Linked DNA regions of Coturnix japonica. The protein of the gene in region 2 interacts with the protein of the main gene of each other region in a pairwise test. Links are inferred from orthologs where the notes say so. Each region holds a gene or a part of one and is shown on either strand. Other genes may lie near its edges.

Region 1 (4,187 bases), about 110 Mb from region 2:
GCAGAATGAGCAGGACTCCACACCCACCTCACTGCATTACCCTGCCAGAACCCCACTCCTACATCTAGTCTGAGCAACCGCAACAAGTTCCCATTCATGCTACAAGATCAGCAGATAGTCCCTGTTGTGCTGAAGGGCTTCTATCTCTGCTCAGTCACCTTCGTAAGACCCCACTCTGGACTGAGGAGGGGAAGAAGGGAATAGAACTTTTCATCACACTGCTAGTTGTTTTAAAGCAGCTTGAGATTATGATATTGGATTTAGGAGAATTAGTTTATTCTACACTGCTTAATTACAAGAGCTGGAACTCTTAGTCCTGTAGCTCTGTGACCTGCTGGTTCCACAAGCCAGGCTGCGGAAGGTGCTATTTCAGCAGGATCACTTAGCAGCAGCATTCTTCTTCAATCACTCCAGCTGACTTTGCTCGCTTTGTTTTGGCCTTTGATTTCTTCTTCTTGTTGGGAATTTTGCTGCTTATAATGAAACAGCTTTTGTCCTGAGAACAAAAAAAAACAGCATTCTCAAGTCTGGTTTGGAGACACTTGAAGTACCAATTTATTACTAACTTCCTTTAGGAAGTTTTATGGACGCTTCAGAGAACTGCCCAATTTCCGCACATCCCAACATAATTCCAAAGAGCTCAGACTTCTCTCAAACCAATTTCCTCTTGTACTACACACCAAAACCACACAAACTGGTTAATTCCAGATCCAAGCTCAAGAATTAAGTACTCAAAGCATCATCTGTTACTTATTTAACACCTCAAAAGAGAAAACAGGTTATAGTTTTCAAATTATGGATGTTTACTCACCACTACTCTGACATCAAAGTCTTCTGGATTATCAGAGCCCAAGCAGTTATCATCGTCATTGCTGAAAGGCAGGAAATTCAAATCAAATCTGTACTTCTACAGTAGCGCAGCATAAACAAGCTGTTCTCCTAATGCAGCACCACTTCCTCATAATGCATATGGAAACGCTACAGCTTACAGGTCTGGGATGCTCCCACTTCTACATGAGGCTACACTGAGAGCCTGTGGAACAAGATCCTTATCTAAAGCCATGAGCTGTTACTTATTTTCTCTCTCTGCTCTTTTAAGGATGAGGAGAGAGCACACAACACAGCAGTGCTAAGCCAACAGAATCCATTACTGAGTTACAGAAAAATCCAAGAGGTATTTCACCAATTAATATAATGCACGTGCCAGACAATAAAGACAGCAATGCTGAACACACAGACTTTAAGTTGAGAACAAAACAGCAACTTTTATACTACTGAAAATGAACTTACTTTGTCTCCTGGATAGGAGAAATGGGGCCTTTGTCATCTAAATATTTATGTTTCCGCGCTGTCAGACATTCCCTTTCTAAGTCTTCATTTGCTTCAAGGGATTTCAAAGCCTTTTTGAGGTGTTCTTCAGCTTTAAGCATTTCAACATACTGGAAATATCCCTTCGCAGCTGCTTGCTGCAAAAAAAAGGAATAGATCTTAAATACAAACAAAGAAATGAACCATTTATATAATCAACCAGACTGTAACATTAAATGACAGCCTTAGGTCAGCTGGTTCTCTCCCACAAAACACAGGGCTCACCTCATAGCTAAGAACCATATTTACGGGAATATGTTTCCTCCCATAATGTTTTTCAACAAAAGGGAACTGAAAGCCTGGATCCCGAAGCCTTCTCCTTCGCTCCTGAGGCGGGGCTGTCATGGGCCGATTCCCACCACGCTTCTTTGGGGGTTCCGAGCGTCTCTTTGTCTTCCGTGAAACACCGCTCCTGTATCTTCGGTGCGCAGCAGTTTTAAACTTCCTTCCTCTGAAGTGATAGGCAAAAATGGCTTTCAAATCGAGCTTGGATTTCCTCCTTTGGGAGGGTTCAGGTGGCCTCACCGGGCTCTCAGGGAGCAAAGAGTCAGGACTTTCACCATCAGACACTCGTGCATCAGCTCCTGCTTGTTTCCTTGAAGGCTGCGATCTCCTCTTTTGCTCCGCAGAGGGAGCAGTGCATTTCCTAGAGCGTTTGCTGCCCCGAGCAGCTGAAACATCACTGAAAAAGAAACGTGTACATTCAACAGAGCACATACGTTTATGAGTCTTGTTCGTAAGTGATTCTAAGGAACCAGGTAACTCACATTTCTGAATCGCTGCTATCCACCTCAGATGAAGATGTATTTGTACTACTAGTCTCATCTGAAGACTCCTCAGGAGTGGCGTCCTTCTGCCTCGAGCACAAACGTCTCTTCCTTGCATTCACTGCACGCTCAGGTATTTTAGATCTTTTTCGCCTCTGAGTGGATACGAGACTCTGAGCATCAGGATCATCAGAACAAGAGGTGTGGGATTCATCTGTATCACTCATGTTTTAATCTGCCCTGAAAGAAATTAAATATGTTTTACCCCAGGCAAAGCTTTTCACATCCAAGGAACGTATGTGTCTCCCTCACAGTAGCCCCCTCCCGCCCACCATCCCGGGGCGGACATTTTGCGCGGTTCCCGCCGCTCTACCACAGCCCCGGGCCGCCATGAGGAGCCCATTTCCCACATCCCACCCGCCCCAGGGCCTTCCTTGCGCTCCGTCTAGGAATCGCTCAGCGACAGGATGTGCTTTGATTCTACCCCAGCCTCACAGCGGGTCCTCACACGGCGGATGGCAGCGGATTCAGCGCACCGCCATCACCAACCCAACACTCACCTCACGCTTCACCTCCGGAAAGGGCGCGCAATGGCCGCCCCCGAGCTTAAATAGCGCTCGGCTCTCGCGAGAGCAGGACGGGGCGGGGAGTGCCGTGAGGGGGGCGGGGATGGGCGGCCGCAGGTTGTGGGCATTGGCTGCGGTTCCCGCTCGCTGTGGGTCTCCAGAGGGTGGCTCCTGCAGGTTTGGCTCCGGGACTCTTTTTAGACTCTTTTTACCCTCGTTTACGTGGCCTGAATTTCCCTTCTCGCTTCTCTGCTGAGTTCATCTGCACGTTGGCGCTGTCCCTGTTGGCTCTGTGGCTCTGGCTGTGCTTCCTTCTCCCCCCAGCCCCCCGCTATGAAGCGTTTCTATCCAGCCATTAACTTCTCCTTTCCGTTTTCTGCCCTTTCCTGCTTGGAAAAGAAAAGCCGCAGTGTCTCGACGTGTCGGTTGTTTCCTGCCATCCCGTTTGCAGCGTTCCTGTGACAGCTTCCTTCACAGAAGGGAGAATCGCCCATAGAAGCGGACGAGCCCCCAGCTAAGATGGAAATCACTCTACATAGACAGCTTGCTTTCTTGCTCTATTGCTTGTTACAGGCAGAACTTGAGGTAGCTGAACTTTGAGCTCAAAGTCTCGCTTTTTCTTCCATGAAAGGTTCCTATTTTGTTACGTGCAGCAGGCGTGTGCCTAAGGAGTTAATGATTTCTGGGGCTGGTTTATAGGTAGCATGTAACCAGCTGCTTGTGCCTGGAGCTGCTGGTTTGCCCTCGTAGCAGGTTATGCTGTTGCATGACTGAAATATAGCTCGTTTCAAAAGAAGCTCCAACATTTCTGTTCTGAACAAAGCTTGCTGTGAAAGGCTCTGAGCTGATATAGAGTCCAGTGCTGTACAACTTGCTGCTGCTTTGGTGCCTTTGTTTGGCTTTGAGATGCACTACAACCTTCTTCCACTTTGGAAACACGTGCCTATAAGAAACTGGGAGCCAAGGTTGAAAGTCCATCATAGCCAATGCTGGAAAAGTAAACATTAAGGTAGTGAAGACCGGGTAAGGCAGTTATTGTGCTTAGAAAAGCGTGGCTTTGGGTTTACAAAGGACAGATAACTGACCTGTCCCTTGAATTAGGTTCAGCGTATTACATATTTTGTCTGTACTGAGATGGAAGTTTGAGGACTAACAGATGTAATGCTCTGAAGCAGCTGCAGAGCTGGTAGGCACACCTGCTTCCAAAGCACATAGAATCATAAAATCACCAAGGTTAGAAAAGACCTGAAAGATTATTCAGTACAACCATCCACATATTACTAATAGCTGCCACTAAACCACTAATAGCTGCCACTAAACCATGAGAAAACACTAATCTTGAAGCTGTCAGTTTTTCCCTCAATGGTATAATAACAATTCTACTGTTATCTATGTATTCTCGGGTGAATTTGACAGATAAATTGCATATTGAAAGCAGTGTGTTTTTAATTACTAAACCATTATCTTTGTTGACAGATCAGTCACT
Region 2 (4,006 bases):
GCAGATGAGAATCACTGTGTGTGTGCGTGCGTTACAGTGACCTAGTTTGTTCAAAGACAGCATTTTGAATGGTTTATTATAAAGAGACTTGAAACAAAGAGACTTCCTCAATTAAAGTCCTGAAATGAATCCTCTCAATGAAAATGCTTTTGATACACTGATCAGCAAGAGGTTGTAAATATCGAAGCAAAGCTTGCATTGTTAAAAACCAGTTCCCACAGAAAACACCACTGTTACAGTATAGGTAATGAGGCCCCCTGAACAGAGCGTTAAGTTGCATGAGCAATGTCCATTCCAAACCTAATGCCCCAGTGTTCTACTTGAACATACAATAATCCTATTTCCTGCTGCAAAAAAAAATGCACTCAAATAGAGCAAGAGTTGAGTGACTGTAAAAGACTTTTTAATTATCATCTGAGGACTCTGGAATAACCGCCCCTAACATGAAAAAGAAACATATGACTTGAAAAAGAAGAACCATGCTGGAACCATGAATGTCACAAGTCAGCTAAGTAATAAAACACGCCAGCAAGGAAAAGATGAACCTACGCAAAACATACATTAGCACAGGTGAGTCCTTAGTGCCAGTTGGAGTGTAGTGGAATACAGGTATATGGTACCAGGATACCACTATGTTTTATATTACTGTAGCCAAACCAACATAGCTGGCAAAGATATATCAGCTACAGAGTGAATCTCAAAGAACTGTTGATTAGCAGCGGGATAACTGCAAGAAGTATGCTTTAGTCAGGCCGTCTCTGCACTACAGACCAAGAATAACCTGTTGGAAGAAGAAATATTTGTTGCTAACTTCCATTTTTTAATCTTAGATTTTGCTTTGAAGCATGCTAAAATCAGTAAGCTTCTCTCCTTCAATTTCACCCAAAGCTCCATAAGTAATAACTCATCAAAGAGTTCAGTGTAAGCTGGAGATGGGTATATTAGATCCTTAGATCCCCTCATTTTCCTTCTCTTTAAGGAAAAACCTCTGAATTACACAGCAGGTTTTTTGTTGCTGAGGCTTTTTTGTTTGTTTGTTAGTTTCGTTTATCATTTCCAATGAAGTACCTTCTCCACTCACTTCTACATTTTCACCTCTATACCAAATTAATAGTTTTTGTCACAGATATTCACATTCCCTTATCCTTTCATAGGTTATTCTTTTCAGAGTTTTTTTTTTTCTCTTCTGTTTTATTTCCAGGCTGTTTCTTTTCAGGGAGGAAACAGAAATACATTTGGGAAAAAAAAAAAAAAAAAAGAATAAGTTTGCTTTGTACACCAGCTCAAGCACATCGTCTTGAAAACATAAAGCACAAGAATTTCTTTACCATGACTTTTCTTGTACCTTTCCCTCCTCCCTCTGTTCCTTCTCTATTGCTCCCTAATGCAACCAAAGTTATACACTTACTCTGTTGACCAAAACATTGAACTTCTTTGCTAAAAGCTTAGAATAGTCATGGCCAAAGGGTAACAAAGGAAATGACAGCAAGTTCAAGAGCTGATGGTAGTATTCTTCCACTGTACTACAAGCCATTTAGAGTAAATAGGATCTACTTTAAAAACATACCACTATCCATAGCTGCAGAGTTATCTCACAGAGAAGGATTTAACACGTTGCAAACGTTTCCACAATGCTCCTAAGAACCAGTTAGTCTATACTGTAATCCAGCTTCAGAGTAAACTGCTGAACTAACACACAGTAGGCATTCACAACCAAAGTGGATCACTTGCCATGCAGAAGAGATAGGTATATGACACCCACTGGCTATATAAAAAGTGTGGGAGAATCCGTTTTCTGAATAGAAGAAAACTGTATTTTTAATGGGACTTTCTCCCCACCCATCCCTCCAGAAGAAAGAGAACACAAACTAACAACAGTAGCTATAAATAAATCAGCACTAGTTAGATTCAGTTGTTTCTGCGGGAGAAAAGTAGAAATAAGGCTAAGTACAACGGAAAATATAATAGCAATAGAGAGTAGTGCTCAGGCCGACGGTACAATGCAACCTCGGTTATCCAGTCTCAGTCGGGACACTCCTGGCACAGAGCACCTGGAAGCTGCAGGAGTTCTGCTGCCCTGGAATCACTGCTCCCCTTCTGTCCTCTCAAATTGGATCAGCCAGAGAACTCCTGTTCCCTTCTCTGCTGTGTCACGTCCCCTCACCACCCCTCTCCTTCTTTATCCTCTTTATCGCTCCCACATCCCGACACATCCCCATCCCGAATCGAGCGGCCAAACGCACGTGCGATCCCGAAGCACCCCACCACCCCAGAGCAACCCCAGACTTCAGCCCCAACCTGCCCCTCTGCCAGGTGTTCCCCAATCACCCCCGGGGCGGGGAGATCAGAGGAGACAAGGAAGTATCAGGGAGAGTCCCTGGGAGCGGGGTGAGAGGGGGAAGCGCTTCGCATCTCGCCCGAAGGAGCGGGCTCGGGGAGCAGCGTCCCTCTGGCAGCCCCTGGCAGCCCTCGCCGTCCCCTCGGACTTACTTCGGGCGGCGAGAAGCGCTTCTCCCGCAGCAGTAAGGGGCGAGCCGCGAGCGTCCCTGGTGCGCGTCGGGTGCTGCTGGTGCTGCGGGTGCTGCCGGCGATGCGGCTCCGCTTCCCCACGGACCTTCGACTCACTCCCCTCTTCTCCCGCGCCCCGTCTCTCTCTCCCGCTGGAGATTTCTTCCCTGAGATTTTTATACTGGAGGCAGGGAACCTGATCCTCGCTTTGACTCGACAGAGCCCGGGCTGCGGCGAGCCGCCGAGAGGAGGGAGGCAGAGGCAGGCGGGCGCCGGGGCAGAGCTAGCGGCCGCGCTGCCCCCTCGTGTGATGATGCGGCGGGGGCGCGCCGTCGGGCGGGTCACCCGCGGGGCAGCCTCGCCTCCACCGCCCGAGGGGGGTGTAGGGGGGCGGGACGGGGCCGCTCCGCCCGCACACCGGGTCCCGGGGAGCCCCCGCTGAGGGAAGAGTGTTCTCCGCCCGCACCGGGACCGGACAGTGCCCTCCCTGCCTGCCCCTCCACTCTCAGCCTTGCTTGAGGCTACAGCCTCCTAATGGGCACCAATTGGATCTTGCCTGGAGAGGACTTGGCTGGCAGGAGCACGGGGAGCTCTAATTCTACTTGCAGTGTCCCACTTAGACTTGGACTGGAAATACTGGGTTGTGGGGGGAACAGCATCTAATTTCAGCCCTAGCTGAAAATGCCACAAGAACAGCTTTTCTCGTGGCATTCAAATACTTCTGGTTACTGGAGTTATATCAAGGTTTCCACTTTTTTTTTTTTTTTTTTTTTTTTTTTCCCCCCAAGTTTTCCAACTTCTAGGTTCATTACATGCATTGAATAAGAATGTACCCCCAACCCACAGCTTGGTTTAGAACAAAGTGGACTTGTTCCAAAGTCCAGGCAATTTCTGTCTAATTCCTGATCCCCAGAGCAATTCTCTCTCTCGATTTGAAAGACTGAGTCCATTGACTGCTTGGGTCTCAGCTTGCGTCTCCTGCTCCAGGTCTGCACAGAAATCCAGTTCAGATTCCTCTCCTGTTTCCAGAGGAATGAGCTAAAAAAGTAATTTGTCTGGCACCGTACGCATTGCATCATCTAACACCTACCATCTGTGACAATGGAAAGCACTGTGTGGCTGGTCCCAGCGTGGGCAATTGCACCCACCTGGAGTCTTTCTTAGTAAAGTAAACTATTCCCTTCCATCCACACCTTGGCATCTTCTTTTCATCATGCAGTTATGTGTTTAGTCCTGGCATGGTTGTTAAGGATTTGCACCACTGGCAGATTTAATGACAGTGATGTAAGTTAAAACAACAGCTTTGATTTGCAGTGTAAAGTGGTGACTTGAGAAGGAGAGAACATTCCTTCTAACAGCTGGCCGAGTGGAAATGAGCACTCAATACTACACTTCACGTTCATGTTTCAGACTATGCAAAGCTGAATAGAGATACCTGATAGCCAGCTTGTACCTTCCTGAGGGCTTCTCAATGAAATTCTGGCAGTCCAAGCACCAC
Region 3 (2,823 bases), on a different chromosome or scaffold from region 2:
GGCTGCACCTGGCACAGAACCTCAGCTGACAACAGGAGTGGAAGGAGCAGGCAGAAGCAAATGGAAATGGTGGCAGATGTTTGGCTTTGTAGCAGGGCTGCCTCATACAGTAAGGCTGAGCTCCAGAAGGGCTCCACTGACTGCCTGAGCTCTGAAGGGACAGACTGGAGAGGCTTTATTCACTTCATGGTTTTATATTGTCTCAGCTTTCGGACAGATGTGAATTGATCCCCATAACTCTGCATTACAAGGAATAGAGATATTCTAACAGAGGGTGAGATGCCTCCTATTGAGGTTCCTCTTCAACACAGCCCAGAGTACTCAAAACACACACTGGTTCACGGCTGCTTTAAGGGCTGCCTTCCACATTTCTGGTTCCAGCACCCACCCCCCTCCCACCACAGCCTCAAAGGAGTGACTCAAAGAGGAAAGAGAACGCGGGATCAAACTTACAGCTGTTGTACTTGTGGATTGTTCATTAGGTTAGATGCCTATTTAAAGAGGGGAAGAAAAAAAAATGACACCCTATTTAGTCAGAAATGCCTGGGTAGATATGCAGATGTTGTGCCATTCAACTAGGAACAAAGCGAAGGCAGAAATACTTGGAAACAGATCAATAGGACAAAAATAGCAAAGAGAAGCACAGTGCAACACACAAGACAAGGCTGGTAATGCAGAACAGGCACCCTTTCCACACCCAGCACGTCACAAGGAGCAGCCTGTGAATAAGTCACTGGCTCTTTATTTGACTTGGGTGCAAAATACAAGCACAGCTTCCTCGCAGCAACACCAAGAAACGACAGCAAAGCTGCTCATGAGACACAGGAACACCCCACTCCACGTCCCAAAACGTTTCATCTTTAATGGATAAATGCACAGACTGAGTACAGCCTGGCTGTGATCTGTGCCCGCATTTACCATACTCATGAAGCCAGGGTTGTTCAGCAAGCCAGCTAAATCGAATCCTCCGGGACCTCCGGTCTGTAAGAATAAAGACACCACACGTGGGTGGTGACATCCTCTCACTTTCTGATGCAATAAACAGCACGCTGCAATGAATGGTACCTCGATGCTCCCAGTGTTATCAGAAGCTGGTCTTTAAAGCATGACAAAGGGCAGGATGGGGATCAGCTCACTCAGGGAGGCAAAGGGCACATGCTGATAGCAATGATGGCATCACACGCATTGTTGCACCAGCCCAGCCGTGCTAGTGACGTCCTGCCCCAACCCACCACACCTGCCAAGTCAAACACACCCACCTGCCCACCTCCGTGCTACAGGAGGCTCTAAAAGGCAGAAATCCCCTTTAAGATACTAAAATAGTGTTTCTAAAAGCTCCTTCTAATCAGCCTCACTTCCCAGCCCAAGGTGACTGCGTGCCAGCACAGCACACAAGTTGCTCTCTCTGGGTTTTTTATTGGGGGGGGTCACAGCAGCACTCATTAATCATCCCCCCTCCATCTATCTGCATGCAAGAGCTGTATTCTAAACACAACCGAGCTCCTGCCAGCACCTGCAGCAGCACAGTAAAGAAATCTCCATTCAATCTCATCCACACTTAAGCATTGATTTCAGCACTTACCGGACTGGGAGTCTCCTTCATTTTCTGTTCAGCTATTTTAAGGTTGGATTTATACGTGTCATTGTCTGGATCGAGCTCCAGAGCTTTTTTGTAGTAGACAACAGCTTCTGTGTGTTTATTTAAACTGGAGAGAGCCAAGCTATTAAAGGGGAAATAAAAGAAAGTCAAAGAGGGAGATAAGCACTCGCAGCCTTCCTCCACCCCCAGCAGAGGTGAAACACCAGGTATTTCTACACGGCATTCCAGGGCAGAACATTGCTGATAGTGTAATTACCACAAAGCACTTTGAGACTACAATTCTGGCACAAAAACCTGCTCTCGTACTTACCCCATTCTGCCGTAAGCTTTGCTGTAGTTTGGATCGATGCCTATTGCTCTTTCGCAGTCTCTGACTGCTCCAGCATAATTTCCTAATTTACTGTACGCAGCAGCTCTGGAGAGAAGAAGAAAAGATGGGCAGAAAACACTTATCAGCTTGAATGTGCTGATCAAGGTCACCTCTGCTCCCTCTCTGCAGCCTCCTGCTCTAAAGGGAAAGTCAAAGTGTGAACTTGACATAAATCCAGGCTGTGCCTACATGAGCAGGTCGCTATCCAAACACTCAGCTTTCACCTTCTAGTCCTACTGCAAACAGATCTGAGCTCTCACTCCTCCTTACAGGCCTTCCAAGAGGAAGGAAGCAGGAAAGCATCCCATCCCTGGCTCAGTCTGATCTCTCAGCCTCCGTTACATCTCCATTTCTGAGCCATAAGGACCCCCTCTCCCATTTTCCCATACCCTCCACATAAGGTTCTTGATAGCAGGCCTTCAGCTTGCCTCACTTTACTCCTTTGCTTTTGTTTTCAACAAGGCCTTTCAAATCCCAGCCCTCTGTTTTACTTAAAGAGTTAATTGTATGAAAGCAGGCGGCGTCCCTTGGAACCCTTTTATCTCTCCTAAAAATGCTGAAGAGTTTGTTTCCACACCCACATCCTATTGAGAAGTGCCAGGGCATGGAGCTGCCAAGAGCAAGTCATTGAGCTAAAGAAAAAACAAAAGCAAAAGCACCACATAGAGCAAGCGATGGAACAAGTGGCCTACAACACTTTAAAAGGTGGATTTTGAGCTTGAAGTAAGGGCCAAAACCACTGGTGTGCAAGGGAAGAAAGAAGCAGTACCTGTTGCAAAAATACACAGCGTTGGATGGATTTAACTCAATTGCTTTCCCATAGAAAGACACAGCAGCTTCAAAGTTCTCTGCC
Region 4 (4,103 bases), on a different chromosome or scaffold from region 2:
GCTGTGTGTTTTCCAGACCCATCTGAGCGACGCTGAAAACCCCTGAGTGGGAGTGGGGGACAAAGCAGATAGGAAACTTAACCAAAAAAGGAAGGAAGCAGGAGAACGAGCAGTTGGTTTCTCTCAGCAAAGGAAGGGGCCGTAATGCCTTCAGTCAGCACTTCTCTGCGGCAGGTAGAGAATAAAATGAAAAGCCAGGACAGTGCTCTCCTTACCTTCGGAGATGGTACCGCAGTTTGCAGGGTGAGGGTAGACAGCAGGAGGTGAAATAAACCCTGGGTATTGCTTTCACATTACTATTAGCTGGGAAGGTAATTTCTGCTAACAGTGAGTCATCGTTATCAGATGGAGGACACAACCGTGTTCCAATGGCTTCTTCCCAGACTGCCAGTTGTAAAGGCTCTGCACACACAAAGCCACGCATGCTAATTGCATTAAGGATGCTTTTACCCCCCCCCCCCCGCAGGTTCACACAGGTGCACAGCCCAGGGCAATGATGGGCCAAGTGATAAAGCCAGAGCTGTACGATAAAGCCAGAGCTGTACGATAAAGCCAGAGCTGTAGGGCAGAGCTGTGGCAAGGAGAGCCCTCGTGCCTCACCACCACCCGCTCACCCCCAGACCCCCATGATGGAACACTTCCTTACTTCTGTGGAGTCTTAATGACCAAATGCACGGTCAGCCCGTCTTTGATCCCGTGTTGATTCAGAGTGTCTCCGTCCTTCAGGATCTTCCCAGCGAAGATCAGAACCAGCTGATCCTGTTTGGCTTTGAACCGCCTGGAAATCTCTTCTTTGAACTGAAAAACAGACCCGGCGCTTTTCAGGCAGAAGAGCAAAGGAAGGAAACTGAAGGTAACGCTCCAGGTACCCAACATTCACTGCACAAACGGCGAAAGGAACCAGCAGAGCTTCAGCACCCCGACAGAACAGAGGTATTGCTGCCTGCAATAGCAGCAATGCAGCACCAGCTGCTGAGAGCACACGAGGGGAAAAAGCAAAGCTGAGCAACTGAGCTGCTTCAGAACGTGGGGAGTAAAGTTCACAACAGTCACCTGGAGATGAGCTGAAGGCTTCAAAACCAACGAGCCCCTGAGGCCTGATCCAAACCCACCATTTATCTTCAGAATGACTGAGCTTTATTTGCCTCCGCTCATCTTATTATTTCCCAAGGAAAGCCCAGCTCTGATTCAATACAGGACAGAGCTGTGCGGAAAAGGGCACAGTCCTTTATCAGCCAATGGATGTAAACTAGGTCTTCTATTCCTGTGACTATCCACAGCACCCACTGCCAACATCTCTGCTGTGTGATGGGGAGGGACCAGCACCTGCCAATAAGATTGTCACCGCCAGCTCAGCTGGGGCGTCCCCGAGTCAATAGGTGAGAATAGAAACCTTTGCATTTGGAAGCCACAGAGTTCAGGAAATCCACATGGAAAGGCTGGGAGCAGAAGATCACAGCTTTCCTGGGGCAGCTCGCTGCCATGGTCCAGAACTCCCGAAAAACTGGGCCTGGGAGGACGGACCCCTGGCACTGAAGTGACCCAGGGCGTGAAGCTTCACCCGCTGCTCTGCACGCTGACAGCACAGGGCTGGGAAGCAGCAGGGCCACGCACAGCACACAGCTCCTGCCCAGCTCCCAGCACACGCTGCAACCTCGTGCCCTGAAGCCCACATCAAAGTACACAGCAAAACACACACACAGCCAAGATCCACAGCACTGACACCACTCTGCCCCGGCGGGCACTGCCACCTGCACAACGCTTCTTGTGAACCCTCTGCTGCCCTGCAAACACACAGTGCCCCTGTGGAGCTCCCTGCTCACAGCAAACCCACATGTCTGACGTCCCCTTCCCTCTGCTTCACTCTCCCTCTGCCCCAAAGGCAGAAATGAAAGGTCTGAGAAGGACGGACAGAGCAGCCTCTGGCCTCAGCCCCACCGCACACATCCACTGCCCCACAGCTCCCCGCAGCCCAGCCCCAGGGCCGCGTCCCATCACAGCACCCACCCGCTGCCTCTCAGCTCCCCAAGCTGCAGCTCCCGCTGCTCTTCCAGCAGCTCCTGCCAGCCCCGGAGCCGCGCCCCCATGTGCCCTGACCTGAGGCATCTCCGGGCCCTAAGGGAGAAGATCCCTGATCCCTCCAGGCCCAGCCGCCCCACGCAGCGCCTCCCCGCTGTCCCACAACACCCCCACTACCAGCAGCACAACCCCCGGGCCGTGCCCCTCACACCCCCCCCAGCCCGCAGACCCCTCCCGGCCCCCCCTTCCCGTTCCCACCGGCACATCCCGCCCCCCCCTCCCGCACCGCCCCGACAACGCCCCGTTCTCGCCCCCCGGCGGGTTCCAGCCCCTCGGCTCCCGCACAACACACGCCGTCACTCCGCTGCAGCCCAACCCCGGCCCCACGCCCCCCATGGCCGGGGAGGCCCCAGCTCCGCTCAGCCCAGCTCCGCTCCCGCCCCTCACAACCTTCCCCCCCCCGGCTCCTCACACCCCCGAGGTTCCTCCCTCCAATTCTCGCCCAACCCCTCCCGCCACCTTCCCGCTCCGCACCCTCCTCGGTCTCGCGGCCCGTGTCTCCCGCGGCCCCTCGCAGCGCTCAGGCCTAGGCCCCGTCCTCCGTCCCGTCCCCACCTCGCGCACGGAGGCGCCGTCGGCGATGACGATCTCCTCCTTGTCCTTGGGGGTCTTCACCGTGACGCGGATGAGCGCCCCGCCGGGACCTCCCAGCTCCGACCCGCCGGGGCCCGGCCCGCCGCCGCCACTCGGCTCCGCCATCTTCGCCGCCCGCCCCGCCAGCCCTGGCCGACAGAGAAAGGCCGGGACAGAGCGCCGCCACGGCCCGCGCCGCAGCACAGCGCCCCCTGGCGGCGGGGAGGATCGAGAGGCGACGGAACCGGAACCGGAACGGAGCGCGGAACCGCCCCGAACGGAACCGAACGGCAGCAAACACCGAACGGGGGCGGCCTACACCGGGAACGGGCCCCGCGCCCCGCGCTGCCTGCCATGCTGCGGCCCAAAGCGCTGACGCAGGTGCTGAGCCAGGCCAACACCGGCGGCGTCCAGAGCACGTTGTGAGCGGGGACGGGGCCGGGGGCGGTGCGACCGTACGGTCATTGCGGTGTGATGTGACCGTACCGTCACGGCGGGGCTCGGCCCGGAGCTGACCGTTCCCCGCTCCGTTGCAGGCTGCTGAACAATGAGGGCTCGCTCTTGGCCTACTCGGGATACGGAGACACGGACGCCCGCGTGACCGCGGCCATCGCCAGCAACATCTGGGTGGCCTACGACAAGAACGGGCACCACGCGTTCAACGAGGACAACCTGCGCTTCATCCTCATGGACTGCATGGTACGGAACGGCTGCGGGACCCCACGGGATCCATGCGGGACCCCCGGTGTGCGGGACCCACAGCAGCACCCACAGTGGGATCCGAGGTGTTCAGCAGCAGCTTCTGTGTGGGAGCCCAAGGGGTCCGTGTGAACCCCATAAATCTCAATGTGACCCCATAAATCTCAGTGTGACCCCATAAATCCCAATGTGACCCCATAAATCTCAGTGTGACCCCATAAATCTCAGTGTGACCCCATAAATCTCAGTGTGACCCCATAAATCCCAATGTGACCCCATAAATCTCAATGTGACCCCATAAATCCCACTGTGACCCCATAAATCCCACTGTGACCCCATAAATCCCGCTGTGACCCCCTGAATCTCCGTGTGACCCCGGTTCTCTCCGGCAGGAGGGGCGCGTGGCCATCACCCGCGTGGCGAACCTCCTGCTGTGCATGTACGCCAAGGAGACGGTGGGATTTGGGATGCTGAAAGCCAAGGTGAGGGGATGGGGGTGAGGGGATGGGGGTGAGGGGGTGGGGGGCTGCATTACGGTGAGGTGTGAAAGAGCCACGGGGTTAAAGCCGGGAGGAAGAGGATGGGAGAGATGGGGGAGGAATTGCAATCAAAATGGGAACTGTCTGCGTGGGTCCCAGATTGGTGCTGGGGTGGGACGGGGGTTTGCCCACAGAATGTGGGCGCTGGGGGCTGCACCCCTCACCACCATCCCTGCCCCAGGCACAGGCGCTGGTGCAATACCTGGAGGAGCC
Region 5 (3,514 bases), on a different chromosome or scaffold from region 2:
GAAGACAACACATGCAGTTGCTACTCTGATGGGCTGGAACCTTGATCCTCATCATTCACTCCTTGTACCAAGCCTGTTTTGACTCTGGATAAATTGGTCTGGAGGTCTCTAGCAAAGCCAACCAGAAAAGGCCAGCAGGTAGATTTTACTTATTTAGAGCAAGAAAGCAAATCTTTTCCTCACCTTGTGCCCATCCAAGTGGGCTATATCCATTTCAAAGCCTGTAAGTGCCTCGACCAGCGAGATTGTCACGTTTGTGTATAAGTCATCTCCTCTTCTTTCAAAGACTGGGTGCCTGCGGAAATAAGAGATTGTAGCTTTCCTCCTTTTCCCATGGAAAAGGAGATTCTCCAGCTTCCTCCCATCCATTTGTGAAAAGAGATTGGAGACTTCACATAAACCAGAGAGGAAGTCAAGAATGAATGAAACTTAGCTTTGTTTTCCTGTGTGCAAAGCATCCTACTTATAGCCTTTCTATTTCCAGAGCAGTGAGTGGTAAGGAGTGTCAAATTGTGACTCATCCAGTCTTTCCTTGCAGCACATTTTCTTACAATAGGGAAATAGTATGTTTATGGAAAAAGGAGATATCACATGATTCAGGCAGGGACTAATCTATGCCAGAATTCAAGGGAAACAGAAGTAGAATACCACTGCAGCATCGTGACAGCAGTGAATCTCTAGAATCCTCAGGATTGAACATCCTGCACCGTCCCGAATACCTGAGCCCTGATTGTACTGAAGGATAAACTAGACACAAGCCAAGCAGGCAACACTAGCCAGAAAACTGTTTGCAAGTTCCTTGATAGTAACTAGAAAGAGTGGTCTAACAAGGCCAGTCACTTACTTGAGAACCTTTATTCGGAAACGCAAATCACCTGGCTCCCCATCCACATGGGGTTCCCCTGTGAAGGAAGAAGAGCTGTTTATCCGGCCAGAAACAGCTAAAGAGACAAGCAGCATATTAAATACAATAGAGATTTGCAGCTCATATGTCAAAGGGAAAAAAAAACCAACCAGTTGTTTCTCTTGTGACTAAAACCCTGCTGACATGTATTTCTTTTACTAAACAGTTTAGGATTTTCAGAGTGCTACTTCAAATTCACCCCTCTCTGCTGTTCTGAAGACCTGCCCGCGCAGTAATGAGAACCATCCTTTAATAAATAAAGGACATAACCTCCTTCTATAGGAGGGATTCCTTCACATACTGGAGTATGGGGCAAATGTTCTTTAATATTTCTTAACAAAAGGAGAGAATCTCAAGAGTGTTACCCAGACTTGCAAAGACCAGGCTACTGGATTTGAGCAGCACACTCTGGATGCAGAACTTCACATAACGTGTCCTGAACATTTACCTAAAGCAGAGCTGGGACACTTTCACACTGCCATAAAGATCAGCCTTGTATTAGAGAAAAGAAGCAAGTCATAAGCTGGGCACTGCCCGTATACATACCCTCACCAATGAAGGGATATTCCATACCGTCCCTCACACCTGGCTCTATTTCCACTTCTAGCGTTCGCTCTTCATTCACAAGCCTGCAAGGGGGAATATGCAAGCACAGTTTTCAGCATTAGGTGGTAGCATTTGCTTTGTTACTGGAAAATGAGAACACCCCTACAAATGACACATTCCTTGCTTACACTTAGAGCTGGAAGCCAAATGCTGCCCTTCTCACTTATTTACAAATTGAGTAAGTTCTTCGTCTAATAGATCTACTCATTTCTACTTTAATAATTAAGACTGTCTTCTTGGAAACGAGAAACCCGTGTTAAGTGCTTTGATATTCCCCAGATATTCCTGGTTGTACAGACACTCTTCTCCCTCTAGTGGCAGGTTTTTGAATTAACAGCATATAGCACTGAAGAGCACAACTCACTTGACATTGGGACATTCATCGCAAACAACTTCTTGAGTCATCTGGAAACGCCCAGGGCCCAGCTGTGTGGTCCTCATCTCCTGCCGGCAATTGCATTTCCGTTTGCCAGGTGCCTGTCTTGCCACTGGCTTGTTCCTGACAACCTGCAACCAAGAGGAAGAAGCTGACACCAGCACACACGCCAGCACCCCAGGTCTTGATCACACAATCTGAATACAGCAGCCAATCCAGTCATCTGAAACTTGGTAACATTGGAGAGACCAACAGGCCAGCAAACTTACTTCTACGAAGTTTCCTGAATACACCTCCTCCAGTGTAACCTCCAGGTCCACAATGATGTCGCTGCCCCGAGGGATGTTCCTGTCCTGTTGGCGAGGGCTACCTCCAAACATGAATCCAAAGTCCCCAAAAAAGCTGGAGAGAAACACACCAGTTAGTTCTGGAAGGAATTCTGGCCAAGAAGCCAGCCACCTAAGGCAGGACCAACGGGTGCCTGAGATTTCTTTGCTTAGGAAAACCAAGCTGTTTATGTGGGAAGACAACGCTGGTTTCAATTCACTGATCTTGGAGATGGGACCAAGACAAGACACACAAGAACAACATGTGGAATATGTGTGCATTTCTTCATATCCTTAACTGTCACTGCCTCCTGACTAGGTGCGAGGTCTTAACACTGAATTGACCCGCATCAAATTCACGCACAAGCATCACAGAATTAAAGCTCTGACTGTGAAATAACTCAAACAGGTAAAACCTCCTTACTGTGAGAAGATGTCTCCATGGGAACTCTGGTGCCCATCCTTCAACCCCTCCTCGCCATACGCATCGTACTGTTTCCTCTTCTCCTCATCTGACAGCACCTGGCAAGAGGACACAGAAGGACAAGGTGTTCACCCACAGGGCACCTGGATGCTTACACAAAGCTCAAAGAGGAGCCTTTTCAGAGCTCTTAGATGGGGGGCAAGTAGAAGTGCATTACAGCACAGAAGCATTGGCTAGAACTTGCCTGCTGTGCTTGGAAATTAAACATTTCTTGTGTTGTTTAACCTCATAAAAGTTAGAATTAATATATTAAAATGGCAGATGCAACACAGAGGATATTAAAAATATATTGAGTTTACTCTGAATGAGTTGAGAGAGACTCAGAAGGGGATAATAACTCAAAATCATGTCTTACAAAGCAGGAACTGCTCCTCTGTGAAAAGAAGAAAATCACGTAACATGTAATAGAGCCCTGGTTTCTCAGTTCTTTAAGCACGTGGAATTCATTTATCTGACACATAGTTCATAATTATTAGCAATGACAGCAAGTTTGCCTACCAAGCTGAACCTGCTGAGTACAATAACTCCACACCAACTTCAACACTGACTCAGTTCCTATGGGCAGCAAAATTCAGGAGCAATCTCAGTCCTGAGGTAGAACAGTGCATCCCAATAGACAGCACTCAAGGTCACAAAGCTTCAGTTTTAATTCCTAGGTATTATCTTTGCTTTTATTCTCCACTCCACAGATTTCCAGCCAGATTTTGCCTTCCTTCCCTTTCCTGGCCCACTGGCTATTTTTTGGAAGGCTGAAGTTGCCAGGTTAGATTTCAGAGAGGAATGGAAACAGCTGGAGAAAAGCTGGTTTAATGATGAAA

The links.
Region 1: the proteins of PTN (region 2) and TAF1D interact in a two-hybrid assay, tested with the Homo sapiens proteins (2 studies listed by BioGRID and IntAct). The link is inferred for Coturnix japonica from reciprocal best matches to the Homo sapiens genes PTN and TAF1D.
Region 3: the proteins of PTN (region 2) and SGTA interact in a two-hybrid assay, tested with the Homo sapiens proteins (2 studies listed by BioGRID and IntAct). The link is inferred for Coturnix japonica from reciprocal best matches to the Homo sapiens genes PTN and SGTA.
Region 4: the proteins of PTN (region 2) and UBQLN4 interact in a two-hybrid assay, tested with the Homo sapiens proteins (2 studies listed by BioGRID and IntAct). The link is inferred for Coturnix japonica from reciprocal best matches to the Homo sapiens genes PTN and UBQLN4.
Region 5: the proteins of PTN (region 2) and DNAJB11 interact in a two-hybrid assay, tested with the Homo sapiens proteins (2 studies listed by BioGRID and IntAct). The link is inferred for Coturnix japonica from reciprocal best matches to the Homo sapiens genes PTN and DNAJB11.

What each region holds. Positions count from the first base shown.
Region 1 is NC_029516.1:166,172,858-166,177,044, reverse strand, and holds the start of TAF1D (TATA box-binding protein-associated factor RNA polymerase I subunit D), read right to left. Parts: upstream 2,806-4,187; 5' UTR 2,696-2,805; intron 2,376-2,695; 5' UTR 2,363-2,375; coding exon 2,136-2,362; intron 2,051-2,135; coding exon 1,594-2,050; intron 1,467-1,593; coding exon 1,291-1,466; intron 873-1,290; coding exon 812-872; intron 497-811; coding exon 383-496; 3' UTR 1-382. UniProt on the Homo sapiens protein: Component of the transcription factor SL1/TIF-IB complex, which is involved in the assembly of the PIC (preinitiation complex) during RNA polymerase I-dependent transcription.
Region 2 is NC_029516.1:54,708,104-54,712,109, forward strand, and holds the start of PTN (pleiotrophin), read right to left. Parts: upstream 2,812-4,006; 5' UTR 2,491-2,811; intron 1-2,490.
Region 3 is NC_029543.1:2,300,411-2,303,233, reverse strand, and holds part of SGTA (small glutamine-rich tetratricopeptide repeat-containing protein alpha), read right to left. Parts: coding exon 2,740-2,823; intron 2,016-2,739; coding exon 1,911-2,015; intron 1,722-1,910; coding exon 1,583-1,721; intron 982-1,582; coding exon 919-981; intron 492-918; coding exon 454-491; intron 1-453. UniProt on the Homo sapiens protein: Co-chaperone that binds misfolded and hydrophobic patches-containing client proteins in the cytosol. Mediates their targeting to the endoplasmic reticulum but also regulates their sorting to the proteasome when targeting fails.
Region 4 is NC_029540.1:77,959-82,061, forward strand, and holds the start of UBQLN4 (ubiquilin-4), read right to left. Parts: upstream 2,809-4,103; 5' UTR 2,779-2,808; coding exon 2,635-2,778; intron 799-2,634; coding exon 647-798; intron 1-646. Other genes in the region: ragulator complex protein LAMTOR2, read left to right, coding at 3,007-3,074, 3,189-3,351, 3,744-3,833, 4,072-4,103. UniProt on the Homo sapiens protein: Regulator of protein degradation that mediates the proteasomal targeting of misfolded, mislocalized or accumulated proteins.
Region 5 is NC_029524.1:3,286,711-3,290,224, reverse strand, and holds part of DNAJB11 (dnaJ homolog subfamily B member 11), read right to left. Parts: intron 2,735-3,514; coding exon 2,637-2,734; intron 2,289-2,636; coding exon 2,156-2,288; intron 2,018-2,155; coding exon 1,875-2,017; intron 1,534-1,874; coding exon 1,451-1,533; intron 903-1,450; coding exon 845-902; intron 296-844; coding exon 184-295; intron 1-183. UniProt on the Homo sapiens protein: As a co-chaperone for HSPA5 it is required for proper folding, trafficking or degradation of proteins.